2 linked regions of the Nothobranchius furzeri genome follow. The protein of the gene in region 1 purifies or fractionates together with the protein of each later gene. This does not show direct contact. Links are inferred from orthologs where the notes say so. Each region holds a gene or a part of one and is shown on either strand. Other genes may lie near its edges.

Region 1 (4,054 bases):
TAATTATAAAATGACGAATGCTTTAAAACTGGAAAATTCAGCCTTGGGAAAACTTTAAACATCAATTCCAATTCAACTCATAAAAAATATTTTCTTAAAACATGACAGACAATATTATTCTTAATTTCTTGTTTTGTGGTTTCTAAAATTGATGACAGTAACACAAAAGTGAACCGGGGGGTGAGGGGGGGGGGGGGGGGGTGAGAAAGACTTCAGTATGCTATGGTGTGCATTTGGTCATCACGTGTGATTTTGATTGTAAAAATAAACAGTTAAACAACAGGAAACAGGTGGAGTTTCTCACAGTTTGCTTCAGTTATCTGGCTCAAACACCTGCATACACGATTAAGTTTAAAAAATGCTTTTCTTGCCTTGTTCCCAAAGCACTTAACAAAATATCTTCTCTCACATTTAATCCTTTTTAATGCATTGACAAACTCACTCATATACTAATGGCTTACAGTCTAAATGATGAGCTCATCTTAACTGATGTTTTGGTTTATCTACTTGTCTAAGGTCACTTTAGTAAGTGGATTCTTAGAGCTAGATTTTAAGCCTGCCACCTAACAATCAGACATTTCTCCTTTTTGAGCTACAACTGTCCTGAGAAGGAAAGGTATTCTTAGCTACTTACACAGATTCAGTCTGAAATAATCTGAACAGAACAGTTGGTGAAAACCAGAGAGCAAGATGGCAGCAGGACAGCTAGTGAGCGCCGCAGACTTGGGAAAGGTTCATTCACATCTGGTGCCATATTGTCATCATTCATATTTGCATCTGCACCTTCCTCTTTGTCTGGTTGTTCATCATTACCTTCTTGTTCCTCTTCTACTTGAGGATTCTGAATGGGCTGAAAGATCACGTCCAAAAACTCCAGCCGACGCAATCCTCGAAGCATCCTGCAGCTCCGCACAATCTGCAACTCACTGAGCTTGCAGGCCCAAAGGCACAAATGCTTCAGGTCCTTCAGACGGCTGGCACAGAGCAAACCCGGCCCCACCTCCTTACCACCAAGACTCAGCTCCTCCAGTCCAATCCACCCTGCCCCTAGTCCAAGGGAGGCCATCTGTAACTGGTATCCTTGTCGTCCCGTAATTCCTATTTCAAGAAATTTCAGCCGTGAGAGCCCTTCTACCCCCGAGAGACCATCCTTGGCTGCACAATTTCGAAGCCCATTAGCTGTTATACGAAAAGTGTCACGCAACTCCAGTTGACTTAGCCTCTGCCACGATGTTAGACTCTGCAGATGCTGGTCTGTGAAAGAGGGCACATTGTTGAGGATTAACTTCTCAATACAAACTCCCAGAGGAGAGCCAAGCCCTGTTCCTTTCTGATCCCTTCCTTGATGAGGAGCACTAGAAGTGGCTTCTGCTTTGCCAGGGGGATGAGTGGCTGAATTAGAAGAGCTTTGGTTGAAAAAACCCCGAGGCAACTCACAACCACGCAGCTCCAGCACTCTCAAAGTTCGAGGGAAAACCAGGCAGTTAGGTAGACTTCTCAGGTCTGTATGCAGAAGGTAGAGCTTACTCAGACGGGGACATCTTGTGGACAAAGCTTTGAGCCAAGACTCAGAGAGAAAGGTGCCGCCTCGGGCTGACAGCAGCAAACCTCGCAAGCGAAGGCATCTTAGTCCACAACCAAGGTACTGACGCAGCAGGACCCAAAGGATGCGGGATGTCACCTGACACAGTGGATAGTGTGTGTGTGTGTGTGTGTGTGTGTGTGTGTGTGTGTGTGTGTGTGTGTGTGTGTGTGTGTGATGGGGAAAAGGAGAAAATAACTGTTAATAACTATGCAAACAAACACATTTTTCTTTAGGTTAAAATACACACGTATCACTGACTGGTTCATTATGGGTAAATAAGTTGATTTTATTCATGAGAAAGTTCCTCTTTTACTTTGGTGTTGCATCTAAAACCATCAAGTGACTTTACAAACGCAAAACTTTGTGTTTACCGTTTCTGTACATATTTATGAAAAAGCGTATAATTTAGTCATTCAGACAAAACATTAAAAATAACTTCCTTCTGACACAGGTGTTACTGGAACAGATATTTTATGTCTAAAACCTAATGCAACATTGTTTGTAACTCGCAGGTGTTACTTTATTGTGATTATTTTCATAAAGAATAAACATCAGATAAATAAAACGTTAAAGCCACACAGTGTGCTGACAATTCTTACCCCCTTCCATGAGGTCAAGTCGACAGTTTTCCACAGTCTTTGGTCTTTAACAAGGCGTTTCCATCTTTTGCACACCCTAAAAAAAAGAGGAAAACAATGGCAGCAACACAGAGCAAACTCACTTACACCACCGGATGAGTCATAACAAAGAAAAAGCCTGGCGCTGAGTTTTTGGCATACAAGCAAAATTTCAGCTGGAATACAGGTCTTACCTTCCAGCTCTGACAAGCTCTTTGACGCTCAGGTATGACAAAACATCTATCAAAATGTTCTCGGGAAAGTAGTCCAGATTACAGGCTTTAAATTCGTCCATTTCGTTAAAAAAAAAAAAAAAAAACTCGTAAAGCTTCCACACGGACTAATATCCTGACGCACACGGGTTGCGCCCAAATCAGTAATCCCCAGGAAACGGCTACTCGTTGACTGTATGATGCTGTATGACCTAGACGTTGGATTAAAGAACATACAATATTATAAATTCCTTCGGATAGTTGTGTCTCCGTCGATATTTTCTTTCTTTTGATAACACTTGACAAATTTCTGACAAAGGTCGAGCTCCACACCTTGTTTTGAAACAGCCTGAAATGCAGTTTGTTGCCACCTAACGTTCGTTAGCTGAACAGCCCTCCTGCGCCTGCGCGTTGAATAGATGTTGCACCGAATTGTGTGACCATGGTATATTGTGACTCCAGGAGGCGCTGTTGCCTCACACACCGGACAAGATGGCGACCAGCGATGGTGGAGGAATGGAAGTGGATGGGGCAGGCGAGTATTTATTTCTTATTTCACCATTTAAGTCTGACATCAGCATAGATGGATGTACGATTCCCTTACATGCTGTACAGTTTGGGTGTGAATGACCCCAAGTTAAGACTTAGTGTCATTAAAGGCTGCTGCTGACATAAGTGGGTTAACGTGCACTGCTCAGTCTGTAGTCATGACTCTGGATGTTACCGTCGCTCCTTTTCTGTTCTTTGACTGGAGTCTGGATGACTTGTGTGAATATAAATTTATATACACTAATTGTTTTTTGAAAATACTATTTTATGTATTCTGTTCAAATTACAGCACAGCATATTAGAGGAGCACACGAGGGACGTTGTGTACACCTGATTTCCATTGCTCTGTCACGTCATTTTGGCAAAAACAAACTACAGTTCAGTTGCTTCCCTTATTTTCGCCCACCTATGGCTTCACTACTAAGTTTATTTCAATTCGGCTTTGTTATTTCTGTGTGATGATGCAAACCTAACTCTAACCAGTTATATTTATCCTGGCTGCTGCCTAGCTTGGCCAGGTCTCCCTTGAAAAAGAGGTTGTTAATCTCAGTGGGATCTTCTTGGTTCAATAAATACATCAAACATTGGCCATATAAACAAAAACATCTGCTTGTTTATTGTTGTTTGTCTGGGTTGGTATCTGGGTATGATATTGCTGTGGTTAATGTGATTGACACTTTCTCAGCATCTAAAAAAAACTGATTCACCCATAGTGCTGCAGCAGTTAGCGCCATACCACAGAGACAACTCTTTAAAAGGAGAATTGAGAGCATTACATTTAATTAGTCCAATTTCTGATTTAGTGGAGACATCCTTCAGCTGATTATCTGATAAATGAGACATACGAGGGATTCTTTGGGATCTGCCTTATTGGAGTTAAAATATTATTTTTATACATAATAAAACTTCAAATATTTGCTGTTTGTTAAAATGCAACCTCCTTTTTCCCAAAACCAGTCATTTGTTTTACAGTTTTTGTTTGTTTTCGAGTAAAGAGCTTTATGTTACATGTTGCTGGTGTCCAGTTAAAGCTTATTTTACATCTGTGTCCACGTGTCTGTAGTGGGCCCTAGTGTCATGGCCTCGGGAGT
Region 2 (8,966 bases), on another chromosome or scaffold:
AACTCAAAAATATGCCAAACAAGTAGAAAGAAAAAACTATTTTGGCTTAACAGTAGGGCTGCACAATACATTACAAATGCATCGCCATTGTGATATCAGCATGTGCAACACACATATCGCAAAGAGCAGATAAAACCACAACAAATGGTCAGCTCAAATGTTTTCTACACATAATGAAATTTGTCAAAGAGAAGCATGACATTTTTGACAAATCAAGTAGAGCCCTTCACCGATTTGGCCAATTGGGTGGGTTCTTATAGGTTAGATTCCTGCCCCCTAGGCACGTAATTTAGATGGCTAGCAAACAACCGAGTTAGCTTCATCCTGCTCTTTCTGCCGATTCAGCTTTTTCCAGGATCCACTGATTGCCTTTTCTGGTTCATTTCCTTTTTCCCTTTCCTCACATTATCTGATCACATTTTTTGCTCTTCCCACTTTTTAGTCATTTTTAAATTTTTGTTTTTGATTTATTTTTTTTCTTAAGTATTTGTTTATTTATTTATTAAATCATATCGTCAGCGCAGGTTTTCCAAATATCGTTCAGCCCTACTTAACTAATCCCCAATCCACACTGGCAACGGTGGCGTGAAACGGTGCTATGGTAACTATGAAAAATGTATACCTGCGTAGTGTTTCAGATTGTGCAGAAATATTAATGTCTGCAAGATTACCCCAAGTATTTCTCCGTTTTACCAGCCAGTTCACTAATATTGACCAACAAGAGGCACTTGTATACCTAAACATATTAGATCAGGTGTTCATACTGGATTTCCTGCTGGCCTGTATGTTGGTTTCTAACTCCATATAAAGTAGCTGTCGAGCCTCATGTCACCACCTGCTTGCATCTTACCTTCATCCCATTTGCCCTCAACAATTCTGGGATGTGTAACTAATGACAACAGCAAAAGTTAAAAAAAAAAACTAATACCCTTGAGCCACTCCCCCTTGTTAATTTGAAATAAGGACCAAATGATTAAAATCCAAGCAGAATTGGGACTCAGCCCCAGTCTTACCTGTAGTTGATGCACAAAGCCCACATTGGGGTTGATGCAAAATCTCCTCTCCTGGACATAACTGAATGCATCCCTGCAGAGTTTAAAGTGGGGAGAAACTGAAGCAGAACACACTTCTCCAATTAATCTTTGTCTACAGCAAAAAAAAAAAAAAAAAAAAAAGTCACCTGTATTTCATCCCAAATGTTTCCATCAGGTAGGCGATCACCAAAGCAGCACTGAAAGTACAGATATACCCCGGTGGTTACGATGACATTTAGATGGATTTGGTCTTGTATTAGCATCAAAACAAAAACTACTGATATTATACATCTGAGTATGGCTGGACGATATATAAAAAAGCATATCAAGAAAAAATGCTCTTATTGACCTAAATCTATAATAGATAACTACAAAAAAAGTAGAAAATATATTAAGTGCAGCCCTGGCATTTTTATGGCATCACTTTATGATAAAACCAGCTACCATAGGTATTTATTGAGAAAACAACCCTCGTTTATTTTTTATCAGACGTGTAAAAAGGGAGCCCAAGTCTCCTTCCTTTCCGGTCGGCTCATGGGTCCCCGCAGGAACAAATAAATGAATGCAAGTCAATGGAGCTATTTTCGAATCCGCTTTGCCTTACGTCCTGATTCACACTCGTGCTGTACTTCAATTTAAACGAAAAGTAATGATGTGTTTCGACCACGCCTGTCACATACTTTGAGATTATCAGCTTGTAAAAGTTCGTAATTAGCATGACTACAAATCAGATGTCGGCACGTCGCATATATGACGTCACAACAGAATCTCCTCTCCCCTAGCATAGCTGCTACTTACCACATGGCCAGATTTATGGTGGTTTGAAGTTCGCAAAACTTACAGCCATTTTTCTTCTGCTTTTCTCCATGTCTGGTTCGGTGACATCACTTTGGTGATGCACATTTGTAGTCCTGGTTGTATTTTCACACAAAACCTAAAATAACTTTTGCCCGATTTAAATAAACACTTTCTATGCATCAGAATGTGTCTTTGACATTCACGGACATCATATATGAAATCCATGGCTCATAACGGAATTAGAAAATAGCAGTTTAAAGCCCCATTGACATGCATTCGATTTTTCGTTCTTCAGGGGACCCATGGTTTGGAAGTAGATGGACGTGACTTAGGCACCTTATTAGGTTTGTATCCAAATTTTGATATTGTTTAACTTTCTACACATTTTACCACGGCCTACAGCAGGGCTATTCAATTCTGGGCCTTGAGGGCCGGTATCCAGCATGTTTTAGTTTTAACTGTGCTTCAACACACCTGATTTTAATCAGCAGGTGATTAACAGGCTTCTGCAGAACCCGATGAGCTGCTGCACAGGTGACTCAACCACTGAATCTAGTGAGTTGGACCAGAGAAACCACTAAAACCATGGGACTGTGTGTGTGACCTACAGTGTGGGCGCCACTAAGGGGACTGTTTTGGCACCCTTTCTTTTCACCCTGTACACTGCTGACTTCAGACACAACACAGACAGATGTGTTCTGCAGAAGTTCTCCGATGACCCTGTGATTGTCTGCCAGATCACCGAGGACGGTGATGTGGAGTACAGAGGACTGACACAAAACTGTTGTCAGCAAAACCACCTCCTGATCAACGCGGGGAAAACAAAGGAGATGGTGGGGGATTTTCAAAGACGCCAGCCTGCCACTCCTTCACAGGTGAACATCCAGGGAATGGACATTGAGAGAATTGGCTCTTATGAATACCTGGGTGTTCACCTGAACAATAAACTGGACTGGTCTCACAACACAGATGCACTGTTCAGGAAGGGTCAGAGCAGGCTCGACCTCCTGAGGAGGCTGCAGTCTTTTGGAGTGGACACTCGTGAAGACCTTTTATGACTCTGTGGTGGCACCAGCTTTCCTGTATGGTGTGATCTGTTGGGAGTAGCAGCATCACAGAGAGAGAGAGAGGAAGAAGCTGGACAGGGTGATCAGGAAGTCCAGCTTTGTCCTGGGCTGTCATCTGGACTCAGTGCAGGAGGATCCTGGCAAAACTGAGATCCATGCTGGGCCATGAGTCTCACCCCCTGCAGAACTCTGCTCTGGAGAGCCGCTTCAGTGACGGACAGATCCACCTTCGTTGTGTGAATGGTAAATGGCCTGTATTTGATATAGCGCCTTCTAGAGTCATGGAACCCCTCAAGGCACTTTACAACACAATCATTCACACACACATTCACACACTGGTGGGGATGAGCTACGATGTAGCCACAGCTGGCCTGGGGCGCACTGACAGAGGCGAGGCTGCTGAGCACCGGCGCCACCAGTTCCTCCAACCACCACCAGCAGGCAATGTGGGTTAAGTGTGTTGCCCAAGGACACAACGACAGCGACAGACTGAGTGGGGCTCGAACCTGCAACCTTCCGATTACGGGGCGAGCACTTCCTGTGCCACCGTCACTTCATGACAAAGGAGTGTGAAGGAGAGATACCACATGTCTTTCATTCCTGCTGCGATTAGACTCTATAAGGAACACTCCTAATATGTAACTCATAAATCTGTGACAACTTATGTATCTGTAGCAATGCCACAACTGTCATCACCATTCAATACATGTGCAATGTTTACAGCAACAATCATTATGTTCAACAACTATCAAACTCTCAATTCAACACTTTTTCTATTCCACGTTACTTACTGAATTCCTTTTGTGTGATAGCTTTTCTGTACTACTATTTTAACTTTACTGTACTTGTGCTGTTGCAATACTGCAATTCCCCCTGAGGGACTAAAAAAAAAGGTATTCTTATTCTTAAAAAGTGCTGGATACCGACCCTCGAGGCCCTAACTTGAAAAGCCCTGGCCTACGGTATTACGATCTGTTATGGACCTTCTTGTGTCTTTAATGAAGTGATTGACTGATTGATATTACGATTACAAATAAAAAAATATGACGTAAGCCTCAAGTGACATTACTTCCACTGTTCAGAAACTGAAACACTATTACAGAAAAAAAACAACAACAAAAAAAAAAAACAATGTGCATAATATTAACACCTTTTATTTAAAAAAAAACGCAGCTTATTAAAAAGGGTTTCCACCAGAAAAAAATTAAATTTTTACTTTTCCAGCTTCAACATTGCATGCTATGGACTGACAACTTTCCCTGCAGGGCTGAAAACCCGCTCCGATGGTGAACTTGTGGCGCAACTGCTATAGGAGTCTATATTAGAGATTTTTGTCTCCTGAAATTTATATAAGGAAACATGTCAAAAACAGAAAACTCCTCACCTTCTCGATATCCCTGCATTACCGTGAACCAATACCTTTCCTGGAGGAGCAAAACAAGACTGCTGATCAAATATTTCACATTGAAATGATGACAAATAGGAACTGTATGTGTCCTTACCCTCTGTGGCTAAACAGCTACCAATAAATTCTTTAGTCTGCAAGAAGGAAATGTAAGAAAAAACATACTAGAACGGAGAATTAAAAGCTAAAACTTTAACTCACCGTAGGAAAAAACCGAATTATATTCTCCACTGGATTGTCTGCAATATCTAAAACAAGGTATCTGCAAGAAAAAGCTTCATAACTCAAGACTTCACATTTAGTATAAGCGTTCTGAGTACGTAAATGTTCAAGGGACAAAAATAACACCTTACCTAAATCTATGAGGAAAATTAGGTTTGATAAAATTGGCTTCAATGTCTTGGCGGATACACACAACATGTGTTATGCCGTGTCTTTCAAGAATTGGCAGCTGGAAACAGATGAATTTTAAAGTAATTAATTCATGTAAATTGTGACCGTTTCATATTCAACACAGCTCAAGCAAACATTCGATTTTTAGTTGTTACCTTGCTTTTCATTGCAGCAGAATAGGGGCCTAAGTACAATCCTGGTAAAATCTCCTAAATGGATTAAAAAAAAAACAAATAGCACAACATCAACAACAACAGGAGGAATGGATGCTACTAGACAACAATAACATACCTGCATTTCTCGCCTCATTGGATAAGCCCAGTCCTGTGAAAAAACAAAAAAAAAACAAAACAAAACAAAAAACCAAATCAAAAGTTTAAGGAAATGTTAAGGTAAGTTTACTTGTGTACATACGTGGCTAACGCTAGGCATCTTCTTGGTTTTAGCTACATGATTAAATATTTTAATATTTATTAAATAAAGAGAAGATGAGTTTTACACATGACTAGTTTGTGTTAAGTTCATATATCCTCACACTGAATGCCTTGTAATCTAAACGTTTCACAATAATGCCGGAGAGTATGTTAGCTAAAATTAGCGTGTCGGCTCCAGTTTCATGTTTTCTCCTCACCAGCAGCTCCTCCTTGGAGGAAGGAAGATCCGGGAACTGGAGTTTGATTTCCTCGTCCATTCTGCTGTGAGTTCGGGCTCTGCTGGCCCGGTTTCACGCGCGGCAAAGATGGTTCTAGCGACGGGGTTAGCTGGATAATCGGTGTAACTTGTTTGGAGGCTCCACATGCATGTCCGCCATACTGTTCCCAGACACATGTGTCACGTGACTCCTGAGCAGACAGCATGCCAGAATTTATGGTAAGCCAATATATCCTTTAAGTTGGAAGGCCAAAAGTACGGAAGGACAAACGTCCCATACCTGTTAAAGAGATACTGCACAATCTTTCATGTATTTAAATCACATTCTTGAGTTTGTGCTAACTGACCTTTCACAGGCTTAATGAAATGCCTCTCAGACCCCACCACCCTCTGCGGCAAGAATTTGCAACTTCAAAGTGCCAGGCCACCATCAGTTAGACTTAGAAAAAATGCATTTGACATACCTAGCACTGCATTCTGTTTCCAGCACATTTCCTGCATTTAGAAAATGAACACAGCTAATTTGTTAGATTTAGTAATGAATCGCTCCTTTAGAAACCAATTAACCCAAACCGTTTTGAATTACAAAACAGATTGGACAAATACATCAAGATGTAGGAAAAAAATGTTATAAAATAAAGAAGTTGAATAATTTCCAATATATGTATGGATAGATTTTCACTCTGGGTTTTCAAACTTGAATATTTGACCCAAGAAGAAATTTTGCAGATGTTTAAAACCGGTGGTGACACCAGTGTCACCACCGGTTAAAATCGGTTGTGATATATATATATATGTGTGTGTGTGTGTGTGTGTGTGTGTGTTATTTTATATTGTATTTTAAAGTTTATACACAGGTCCTTAAAGGTTCAGGCTGGGGAGACATTGCAGCTGTAGGTTAACGTTGTGCGTTAGGACAAATGCACAGCAAGGAGATAAGTCTCTCTTTTGCTTTGACCACTAATAGTTAATAACGGACACTAGGGGGTGGTGAAAGCAAGTAAAATTGCTTAGTATACCGTTAGGAAGAAATATTCTGCAGATAAACAACTCTCACTGTATGAGTTTGCTGCAAATGATAATCTTAAATGTATGGTGGAGGATGTTTCTGAATGTCAGGAAAGAACCGCCCTCTCCATAATTTGAAAAAATGCGCATGAGAGAGAACGCCCAGTTATCCCAGTGCACGCTTTGTTCACGAGTAGCTGCTGGACTTGCAGCTAACTTCTTTTAGCAGTTATATGAAATGAATTTCTCCAAATAGCATGCCGAACTTTAGCTTACCTGTCGAGCAGGTGAGCGAGGCGTCTGTGGGGAGCCCAACCTTCGCTTTGCGGATGCGCAGGAAGTGAAAACTGCCCAGCAACAAGCATGTGCAACGACGGCCTTGATGTGACTGGCTCACCAGAATGTTTGACAGTTATGCGGACCAATGGTTCAGATGATCCACCTGGAAGAAACAGATCCTATATTTTTAATTACAGCTGGGTACAAACCTTTAAAATGTTTCTTTTCAACTATTTATTGGAACTATTGTCTTGTCAGTAAGTAAAAAAAAATAAAAAAACACGTTTTATTGCTTTTGCATTGTTTTCTTGCACTGAGTTGTCATTATATTCCTATGATTATTTCTGTTATTTTCTATTGTATTTTAAAGTTTATGTTAAATACATTTTTATTTAAAATCATATAAAGATTTTCTAATTCATTTACAAGTTCTTGTCACTGAAATATGTTTTTTTATTAAAAAAAGTTACCTTCTCTGTTTTCCTCTTATCACATTTTTTTTCCTTCTTATCTTCAAACAATAATTTGAACACAGTGTTGTGCCTGAGTCATCGTGGAGGGCAAAGGCTCCTTCTTTACATATCATGGATCTCCTCATCTGACAAATACATCTTTGTTGAGATGAGCAGGTGTTTGTGAGTTAAAAACTCCGCAGCGGTGCTGGTCAGCAGAGAGAAGTGACAAAAAGTTACTTCTTATCAGATGCAGAGACATAGAATGCTGTCACCTTTCCACAGTCACACTAACCAGAAAAAATAAAGTTTCTTTGAAGGATATCAGTAACAGGAAACATATTCAACCCTTTATCCTTAATCCTTATCAGAGTGCTTAGAAAACACAGTGAACTCGCTTCCCTGTGGCACAAACATCCAAAAGAAAGCAGTTTTTAATCATCCATTTACCACATTCATTTTTGCATAAAGGAAAGAAATACACTTTCATTAAAAACTTGATCTTAATATTAATCAATAAGAGTGTTCTTTAGACAAAATTAATGTCAACAAATTAGGGATATGAATGAATAAAATCACCAGTTTTCTTATAAAAATGATCCGAAACGGGCTTGTGAACATTCAGTCTTTATCTCACTGTCCAATTACACCACCACCAGAGGATATTGATAAGTATAAACATTTAATGAATCAAAAGATGGCTCTGATTTATTATTCATAAATGCAAGCATTACTGAAGTTTCCATTTGCTCAGCTAATTATTTACTGTTGCTGTCATTTACTTTACTGTTTTTTTCATTCTTCTCAGACTGTTCAAGCATGGACCAAATGACAGTCGCTGTCAATGTTTGTATTCCCTCGGGGGCCGTGTGCTGCAGCATGAATGAATGATGGCAGCGTTAGTTAGTTAGTTAAATCCATTTTTATTTAATTAAATGTCACTTTTCTGTGCAGTAATACAGTAAACATTTTACTGAAGGCACTGCAGAAAAAATAAACAACAAAAGCCTAAAACAAAGGCCATGAAAGGCAAGAAGAAGGAAAAATGAATTTTTTCTCACTCTTCTGTTTAAGTATATTAAAAGCCTAAATTTCTGTATAATTAATGAGCATCAGACCCACGTGACCACAGAGCTAGCTCCGTGGAAAGGCCTCAGTCGAGCCTCGGCCTGGCTTGGAAACTGCTCAGGGATTTTGAAGCTCTGGTGTTGTGCACAGTTAACTCCGGTTGTAGCTAGGTTGCTACCTCCATTAGCTTAGCTCCCTTCTCCGCATTAGCTTTGGGTTTGTGTATTCTTTTTTTGGATATTATTTGTGCAACTGTTGGACAAAATGACTTGCTGTGGCATTAATTGCACTAATAGAGCGTCCAACGAGTCTCCACTTCATTATTTTCGGTAAGTAAAATTATATTTATGTATTTTAGGTCACTGCCGAGCTGAGCTTAGATTTTAACATGTACTGTTTAACCATGAAATTTAAATGTAATAGGGTAAATCCCAGTGCATTTAACATAATGCTGCACTTTAGAAAATGGGCTAAAATATTACATGTTGGTGGAGCTGGGTTCCGACTATCGGCTTGTGGAGCTCTCTGGAGACCTCTGTTTTCCACATGTTTCTCCCCGCAGCTCGGCGCAACTCTGTCTGATCGTGGCTTCTGTTTGATGTGCGGGCTGTCGGCTTGTGGAGCTCTGGGATGGAAACCTTTCCACCCGGTTCTCCCCAGCGGCATCTCTGCGCATCTCAGATCGCAGCGGCGCTTGTCTGCTGTGCGGCTGCCGGCTTGTGGAGGTCTCGGAGACCTCTGTGTTCCACCTGGTTTTACCCAGCCGTCAGCCTGGCGTATCTCTGACTCAGAAGCTCTGGTGTTGTGCACA

Evidence for each region.
Region 2: the proteins of F-box/LRR-repeat protein 12 (region 1) and styx purify together in Homo sapiens (affinity purification with mass spectrometry; 4 studies listed by BioGRID and IntAct, with this or other methods). This does not show direct contact. The link is inferred for Nothobranchius furzeri from reciprocal best matches to the Homo sapiens genes FBXL12 and STYX.

What each region holds. Positions count from the first base shown.
Region 1 is NC_091741.1:79,988,629-79,992,682, reverse strand, and holds the start of F-box/LRR-repeat protein 12, read right to left. Parts: upstream 2,801-4,054; 5' UTR 2,498-2,800; coding exon 2,397-2,497; exon of another isoform or gene 2,313-2,396; intron 2,261-2,312; coding exon 2,185-2,260; intron 1,682-2,184; coding exon 641-1,681; 3' UTR 1-640. Other genes in the region: cops6 (COP9 signalosome complex subunit 6), read left to right, coding at 2,907-2,949, 4,027-4,054. UniProt on the Homo sapiens protein: Substrate-recognition component of the SCF (SKP1-CUL1-F-box protein)-type E3 ubiquitin ligase complex.
Region 2 is NC_091749.1:54,435,034-54,443,999, forward strand, and holds the start of styx (serine/threonine/tyrosine-interacting protein), read right to left. Parts: upstream 5,615-8,966; 5' UTR 5,389-5,614; coding exon 5,329-5,388; intron 5,022-5,328; coding exon 4,989-5,021; intron 4,907-4,988; coding exon 4,853-4,906; intron 4,756-4,852; coding exon 4,658-4,755; intron 4,567-4,657; coding exon 4,506-4,566; intron 4,439-4,505; coding exon 4,402-4,438; intron 4,324-4,401; coding exon 4,284-4,323; intron 1,232-4,283; coding exon 1,181-1,231; intron 1,087-1,180; coding exon 1,014-1,086; intron 1-1,013. UniProt on the Homo sapiens protein: Catalytically inactive phosphatase. Acts as a nuclear anchor for MAPK1/MAPK3 (ERK1/ERK2). Modulates cell-fate decisions and cell migration by spatiotemporal regulation of MAPK1/MAPK3 (ERK1/ERK2).